Linked DNA regions of Nothobranchius furzeri. The protein of the gene in region 1 purifies or fractionates together with the protein of each later gene. This does not show direct contact. Links are inferred from orthologs where the notes say so. Each region holds a gene or a part of one and is shown on either strand. Other genes may lie near its edges.

The links.
Region 2: the proteins of porb (region 1) and emc4 purify together in Homo sapiens (affinity purification with mass spectrometry; 3 studies listed by BioGRID and IntAct, with this or other methods). This does not show direct contact. The link is inferred for Nothobranchius furzeri from reciprocal best matches to the Homo sapiens genes POR and EMC4.

The regions. Positions count from the first base shown.
Region 1 is NC_091753.1:33,455,943-33,459,976, forward strand, and holds the end of porb (P450 (cytochrome) oxidoreductase b), read left to right. Parts: intron 1-435; coding exon 436-552; intron 553-670; coding exon 671-789; intron 790-1,003; coding exon 1,004-1,185; intron 1,186-1,272; coding exon 1,273-1,422; intron 1,423-1,504; coding exon 1,505-1,766; intron 1,767-1,865; coding exon 1,866-2,011; intron 2,012-2,191; coding exon 2,192-2,277; intron 2,278-2,504; coding exon 2,505-2,649; 3' UTR 2,650-3,510; downstream 3,511-4,034. UniProt on the Homo sapiens protein: This enzyme is required for electron transfer from NADP to cytochrome P450 in microsomes. It can also provide electron transfer to heme oxygenase and cytochrome B5.
Region 2 is NC_091742.1:80,310,279-80,314,599, forward strand, and holds the start of emc4 (ER membrane protein complex subunit 4), read left to right. Parts: upstream 1-1,373; 5' UTR 1,374-1,537; intron 1,538-2,138; 5' UTR 2,139-2,180; coding exon 2,181-2,284; intron 2,285-3,681; coding exon 3,682-3,796; intron 3,797-3,993; coding exon 3,994-4,147; intron 4,148-4,222; coding exon 4,223-4,321. UniProt on the Homo sapiens protein: Part of the endoplasmic reticulum membrane protein complex (EMC) that enables the energy-independent insertion into endoplasmic reticulum membranes of newly synthesized membrane proteins.

The DNA.
Region 1 (4,034 bases):
CGTTGGAATCTGACATGATTTGGTTTGTATAGACACTGTAACTTCTGTTATATAAAGGTAAGATCTAAATGAGTATAAAACAGTTGCAGAGATCCCTACATAGTCACAAATTCTGCTAAGGTGCTGTGATCAACAGTGTCAAAAGCTACAGAAAGGTCTAACAATACTAACACCGTAAACTCCCCGTTGTCTGCAGCTTGTTGAATACTTTTTACGAAAACCAGATTTGAATTGGATCAAAACTATTGTGTCGTTCCAGAAAAGTAATAAGTTGATCTAACACAACTTTTTCCAGAATTTTAGAGATAAAGGGCAATTTAGAAATGAGTCTGAAAAAATAAGACACATCTGTGCTTCCTTTTAACTTCTTGGAAATGTAATTTTGCTTTTTTTCAAATATTTTTGTAAACATTTCTTTTTGATTTTTCTCAACAGGCCCTTTGATTCTAAAAATCCTTTCCTGGCTACAGTCACAGTCAACCGCAGGCTCAACAAAGGTGGTGACAGACACCTTATGCACCTAGAGTTGGATATCACCGGCTCCAAGATCAGGTGGGGCTGGTTGGATCTGTGTTTAAGGTCCTTGGTGTCATGAGGCCAGAGGGATGAATCACGCTCCGTTATCTCACTGACTGCCAAAGTCTAAATCTGTCATGTTCTGTGGTTTCAGATACGAGTCTGGAGACCACGTTGCCGTTTTCCCTACAAATGACTCAGCTCTAGTGAACAAGCTGGGAGAAGTCCTTGGCGTGGACCTTGATGTGGTTATCTCTCTTAATAACCTTGATGGTATTTCACTGACAACACAGAGCACCTTGACCTCATGAAGCCCCACCTCCAACATTCTCACGAAACCCTCACTTCCTATCTGAAGCAGCAGTTGTAAAAGCACGAGTTAGATACTGTAACACCTCTACTGTTTATTACTCCTGATGATGGATTCATCTTAAAGTCCAAACCATGATGTCTGACAGTATAATTGATAAAGTCCCTGTTTTTGCAGAGGAGTCCAACAAGAAGCATCCTTTCCCCTGTCCCACCACCTACCGCACGGCTCTCACTCACTACCTGGACATCACTAACCCTCCTCGCACCAACGTGTTGTACGAGCTGGCTCAGTACGCGTCCGACCCAAAAGATCAGGAGAACATGAGGAAGATGGCATCGTCATCCCCTGAGGGGAAAGTAAGCACCAACATGGAACTCCAGGAGGATTTTGACACAAACACTTTAACTGGGTTCACTTTTAACTCGACTCCTGTTGGTTTACAGTCTCTCTACCAGAACTGGGTGTTGGACGCTTGTAGAAACATCCTCGCCATCTTGGAGGACATGCCCTCTCTAAAGCCTCCCATCGACCACCTATGTGAGCTGCTGCCTCGTCTCCAGGCTCGCTACTACTCCATCGCCTCCTCCTCTAAAGTAACAACCCTTTAAGGAATTCAGTCTGATGGATTAGTGGTGTTGTGTAATGAGCTCGCCGTAACTCTGGCCTGTCGTGCAGGTTCATCCCAACAGCATTCACATCTGCGCCGTGGTGGTGGAGTACCAGACCAAGACGGGCCGCGTCAATAAAGGAGTCGCAACCAACTGGCTGAAAAACAAACTCGTCAACGGCCACAAGTCGACCGTTCCCATGTACATCCGCAAGTCTCAGTTCCGCCTGCCGTTCAAGGCCTCAAACCCGGTGATCATGATCGGTCCTGGAACCGGAATCGCTCCCTTCATGGGCTTCATCCAGGAGAGGGGATGGCTCAAACAGCAAGGTGCCCTCAGATGCTTTGTGCCTGGACACGTTTAATTCTTAGTCCTGTGAACTTTGACACTGATGTGTACGTATGTTGGTGGCTGCTTTTCTTTCACAGGGAAGGAGGTTGGAGAGACAGTGATGTTTTTTGGCTGTAGACACAAGAACGAGGACTATATTTACCAGGAGGAGCTGGAGGACGCAGAGAAGAACAAAGTCTTAACGCAGCTCAATGTGGCTTTCTCCAGAGACCAGGATCACAAGGTAAAGGTCTCAATCTGAATGAATAAACTCATTGTTATAGCAATGCAACATTTTCGCTCTGAGGTGCATTTATTTTTCATTTTCTTAATGAAAAGCACAAGTTTCTGTCCTGAAGGATTTTCCTTGCCATGTTAACTCTTGAATAAAGTTCTTTTTTCTTTTCTGCTTTCCAAACTAAAGGTGTACGTGCAGCATCACCTGAAGAAAAGCAAGGAACCCATCTGGAAACTAATTCACTCAGAAAACGCTCACATCTACATCTGCGGGTAATTTTCTTATCAGAAATAAATTATTAAAACTGTCATTTATCTATAAGAACCTTCTTCAACGATTAATTACAAACGTTTGTCTTTGGGTTTGGGGCGCCACCTAGTGGAGGAGGAAACGAAGTTTAACTTTCAGCTTGAATTCGGTGTAATTTTGAAACATAATTTTATTTTAATGAATTTCCACATTAAATATGACTAAAGGTTCATTTCATTTTCTTTGTTAGTGATGCCAGAAATATGGCTAAAGATGTTCAGCTGGCTTTCTACGAGATTGCAGAGGAAGTTGGAGGCATGACACGCACCCAGGCCACAGACTACGTAAAGAAACTGATGACCAAGGGACGCTACTCGCAAGACGTGTGGAGTTAAATGGCCTTTTCACTACTTTACTGGTGGTTAGTTTTAAAGTTTGTCTTGTTACAAACTGAATTTAAACACGATAAACTCTTGTTTGTTCGCCCCTGATTCACAAGAGCTACACACAGGTAGCAGAGGATCATTTAAGCAAACCCTACCTCAGCAGGTTTTTAAGAGTCCCATTCAGAAAATTTCAAATCTGTTTTGTTTTTTTGTCCTTGTATGATTTGTGTCGTGCTCCTGAACCACCAGAGTCCCGTGGTCCTCGTTCTTAGCAACGCATTCTACTTTGATTCAAACATTAACTGGATGTTGGACTGCAGCTCTAAGAGTTTGCAGGTTTTAAAGTCAAATCCAAGTAGTTTTAAACTATTTTATGTATATATAAAAAACTAGCTTAAAAAATAAAGCAGCAGAAGATCCTATGTCTATTTCAGGTTTTATTTGTCATAATCAGACTGCCCTTTGAACACCACTACATGGCCTCGTTTCGTTTCAGTGGCATTGCGGAGGGTCGTGAGTTCCTGTTCCAGTGTGAACTAGAGGAGCTTCCACGGGAAAGCTGCTGACTTTAGTGTCCCTCTGAGCTCAAATGTACTTTAAAACATGTAGAATATATTTTTAAAAACTTCCTTGAAGAGTTTTTTGTAACTGGTTTTGTTTGCCTCCCAGGGAATTTTCTGAGTAGGTAGGAGAAAATCGTATGAGTAAACACAGACAGAAGGTTAAATCTGTTGGAGCCCTGTGGTGTTCGTCACATTTTAAAACATTTGAAATGACACTTCTGAAGCACAAAATGACTGCATCAAAGTATCTGACCGTAGAAGAATATAGATTCAGTTCTCTCATGAAGACCACATGTTCATGTTTTGTCTAATTGTACATGTGTACCTTAGGGTTTCCTTCCATCAGCCCGTCTGCTCTCCGTAGATTCATGAGAACTTTGGAGTGAGTTAACCAGCTGTGCCTTTTTAACTCTGCCTTATGTAAGAAGCCTCCAAACATGACAATACTTTGTAACTTCTGTTTTTATCTTCCATGTTTGCATTTTCATAGAAAATTAAATTCTTCCAAGACACTTTACCTGATGTTGTCACCTTTTTTGTTCAAGATGTAATGATTTGTATGAAGGTATGATTTTTGTAAATGAATAAAATTGGATGAATTTATTGGATCTGATATTTTTATAGAATATGAATGAGGGTTTTCAACCTTTAAGTGATTTAAAATTAAAATGGCCACAGCACAAAATATGTATAAAAATACAGATTCACTTGTGAACGTGTGGCAGAACCAGGAACCCTGAAGTTGGCTGGCAGCCAGTGAAGCTGGAGGAGAAGTGGGGTGATGTGTGTGTACTTTTGACTATTTGGTCAGAAGCCGAGCACAGGCACTCT
Region 2 (4,321 bases), on another chromosome or scaffold:
GTATCATTTTATTGGTCATTTCTGACTCAGAGATCATGAGCCGTTAAAACTTAAAGATATAATCCAAGCACAGTCTTCTACAGGCAGTTCAGATGAAATATAAATATATGGCAATAAGCTGAGTTTACACTGTTATGTAGCTTATGAACAAAGAGTAGCAGCCTGAGCTTCATCCATTCAGAACCACGCTGGTTTAGATTCTGAGTGGAAACTGCTTTATAAATCTGCACACACTGGACAGAAGCACTGTGCCTGAGGTATGGACTGTTTTGGGTTTACCACTTGGTTTGCACTGCTCAGTAAGTTTGTATATAGCAGTATTGTCTTAAACTGACAGTCAAGAAGATTGTACACAGATGTTTAAACTTTTACAAAACTCACCAGGTGTTTTCTATTTCACTGCTGCAGGAAGATGTAGATGATGTTTCACATAATAAAAGCTTCTAAGTGAATCTGTCTGTGATGTAGTTTTTTTATTCTTCAACATCGTGTGACATCAGAAACTAGACAGTTGCATGATTATATACATATGTGATGTGTCAAGTTGTCAAGGTAAAATCAGTCATTCAGTAAGGTTGCATTTAGTGAGGGATTGTTAAAAAGGTGGAAGAAATAATGAATGCAAAGGCAAATAAATGCTTGTGTTTTTATTACATTTTGTTTTAACACTAAAACTGCCCTGACCAGTCATTAGGACTGCTGCATTTAAAGGTCAATAAATTCACCAAACAGAAACGATGAAATTACTAAGAGACAGCCTGGTCGGATGCTGGAGATGCTCTTTGGCTGTAGAGTTTTCCAGTTAAGATATTCTGTCTTTATCTTGCCCTGAGAAATCAGCAAGAACTTCTCTGGCAGTGGAAATGAATGCCTCAGACAAAAATAGGTAAACATTATCACATCTCATCCGTAGTTTACATAATAAACATTAAAATCAGTTTTTAATAGAAATTTGTGCAGCTTTAGGAAAAGTCAGGGGGGCTGCATGTTTTTATTTGATAAAGTAATTCAACATCCAAATTACAACAGAACTAAGGTCTTTCTAGTGTTAAAGTTGAGTTTGAGCTCTAGTTTGGAGAGAATTGCAACCCTAATATTTTTGGTTTATTACAGTCATAAAGAATTTAAAATAAGAAAAATATTTTTGCCTGTATTTAGAATTAAAAATACGTTTTTAGAGATCAAATTATTATTTTTTTAGTAGAAACTTTTTACATAGCAACTTTCACAAAGATTTTTCAAATCACAATTTTTTAATCAAACAGCTGTAAAACAAGGATGAAATTTTAAAATAGAGCAAAAAGAGATTCTATTTTGTTTTATTTTGTAGTAACAACGGAAAAGTTATGACGCAGTTTCCGCTTCGTCAGCGTAGAGAACGTAAGTGCGTCATAATTGCGGGCCCCAGAATCAGAGAAGAGGACAGTAGTGACCGTGGAACAAGTTGTTCTTTGGCTCTGCCTGCGAGCTAATTTCGCCAATTTCCTGCTAAAAACTCTGTAAACGCTCGCTGCGGCGGTTTGGATGGTTCTATAAGGTAAATTAATCTTTAATGGACGGACGGAGGTTTTATTCACACTCAGCATTCGGTAATTTACAGTATCATCCTGCTTCCCGTCGTCATCCTGTCTTCCTGTTCTAGTAAATATTAGCTGTTTGGGTCAGTTGCTGTTTGTTTATGAACAGCTGGACCCGTCTAATTGCTGGTCCAGACCACTCTACCTGACAGCTAACTGTAAGGGTGTGTATGTGCTTCCTGGATGAATCCAGAACCTTTTCAGCGAATCATCAATGGAAATGATGCCAAGAGAAGCTAGTCTGTGCTAAGTGTTTTTATCTGTAGTTAACTGCTACAACAAAACATTAAATGTCCATTATTAATATAACAAGAGGAGTGAGTAAAGATGGGACAGAGGAGGATGTGCAGTCTTATTCATTTACTAATTACTTTGAGTGAGCCTATTTGGCTTAATTATTTCTTAATTTGCTGCACAAACTGAATAAAAACCCAGCAGAACTCTCACTGCGTTCATCTCACTTTCTGTTCTATTATATTAGTGCTTTTTGTGGTTAAATAACACTTTACACATCGGTTTAAATAGAAGTTACGTAATTAATTTTGTTTTTCCATCCTCTAGGTGTTTTCTGTCTCTTGAGGTCCAGCGGTGAAGCCTGTTGCCATGGCGTCTCCAGGGGGACAAGGAGGAGGGGCTTTGTCCACAAGAGGAGGCGGCGGGGCTCGGAGGATGAAATGGGCTCTGGAGCTGAGCGTAGGAAACACACGGTACTGAGAAGACCAGGCTGGAGCTTCAGAACTCTCCCTCTAGCTAAAGATGAACATTATTATCGGGATGGCGCTAGCACAGGAGTTGAGTGCCTGTCTCATAACTGAAAGGTTGTGGGATCGAGTCCCATTCAGTTTGTCGCTGTTGTATCCTTGGGCAAGAAACTTTCAGTTCTCTTTTGGCCTGCTGGTGGTGGCCAGAGGGACTGGTATGGTAGTCTTGCCTCTGTCAGTGTGCCCCAGGACAGCTGTGGCTACTAATGTAGCTCATCATCACCTGTGTGTGTGAGTGGGTGAATGACTACTGTGAAGCATCTTAGAGGGTTGTAGAACCCTATAGGTGCTATACAAATACGAGCCGTTTACCATTATTGGACTAACGTGTAAATATCTGTACAGGATGTGAGGGACGTTGTAGAAAACAGTTTGGTTTTTATTTTGTTGGAGGCTGCAGCTGGATGGAAAGTGTTTGTTTTGTTCCGATGTTCCCAGAGGCATGAGGCTCAAACTGTTAATAGTCCAGGGTGGGACGGGTCAGCTGGAGGCATGCAGGTTCTGCAGGCAGGGCAGGTTTCAGCTGATCACCTTCTCAGTGGATCTGATGTTACGCTGGAGCTTCTTTCCATCTGTGACATGATGATAGCACAGAGATGGTGGGGTAGACTCGATGATGTTCGAGTAGAAGTACACTGTGCCTTCAGGCTGAATCTGCCCAGCGGCTGCTGTTTTGTTAAGCTCCCAGGTGAGCGTGTGATAGATGATGGTTCCCAGAAAGTGATGGGTCTCCTAGAGTCTCAGTGATGGAGACAGGAGCAGGTGGACCTGTGATCTTCCTGAAGTGACTGTGTGGTGTTGGTCTGACATCTGCTGGCTCTCCGGTATCTCCTCTGGATCGAGCCCAGTGTGGGTTTGCTGTTTGAAGCGCTGGCTACTGATGAAATAGTGTGTGGTTAATCTAATCTGTAATCCACATATTCTGTATTCACTTGTTGCATCAAAATGATTCTTATTGTCCAAAAAAGCTTTATAATACCGTTAAGTGTTAAGTTGGGTCGGTACAAAGTTTGCACTCGGCCTTGCTTCTGTCATCTTGACAGATTATAAAGTACGTCCTCACGGCTGACGTGCTGTTTAACCTAGCTACAGCACCTGAACCCACACTGTCACACTTTAGTGGTCAATGTAGAAAACTACAGCAGAAATGAAAAGTCACAGTGAAGCCACTTTCAGGCAACTGCAGTGGTATCGGTTAGCGTAACAAGTACGAGTACATGGGATCGTATCGGTGAATCCCTGTTCTAAACTAGCATCAGAAAACGGCACCATCCTACGGTAGACAGAAGAAATCTGTTTTTCTGCTCGTAGCTGATCTGTTTCTGTTGCTTTTTGTGTCGTAGAAGCCGCAGCGATCGGCAGGGCGGTCAGGGAGACGTCGTCTACCCCATCGGTTACTCTGAAAAGCCTGTTCCTGACACCAGCATCCAGGAGACGGACAAAAACCTGGTGGAGAAGGTGAGGAACCGTTCTACTCGGCTCTAGTTAGATTTTTGTTTTACCTGTTTGTACCATTTTAAAGTTAAACCTCAGTAAATGCAGCCTTAAGTATAAAAACCCAGGAGAAACTAAGACGTTCTTCACTTCATACATCCCGTGATGTCACAGATCAGCCGATTGGTCTAAACATCTGTCTCCTTGTCCCTGTCCCACAGCGCTGCTGGGACGTGGCCCTCGGGCCCCTGAAGCAGATTCCCATGAACCTGTTCATCATGTACATGTCGGGCAACACCATCTCCATCTTCCCCATCATGATGGTCTGCATGATGGCCTGGAGGCCCATCCAGGCTCTGATGTCCATGTCTGCCAGTGAGTATCCACCAGTCTGGTGTTTGTCTTCGTCTCTAGGTTTTAGTCCTCACTGGTGTCCTCTTGTGTCCTCAGCCTTCAAGCTGCTGGAGAGCTCCAGCCAGCAGTGGCTACAGGGACTGGTCTACCTGATCGGGAACCTTCTGGGAGCAGCGCTGGCCATCTACAAGTGTC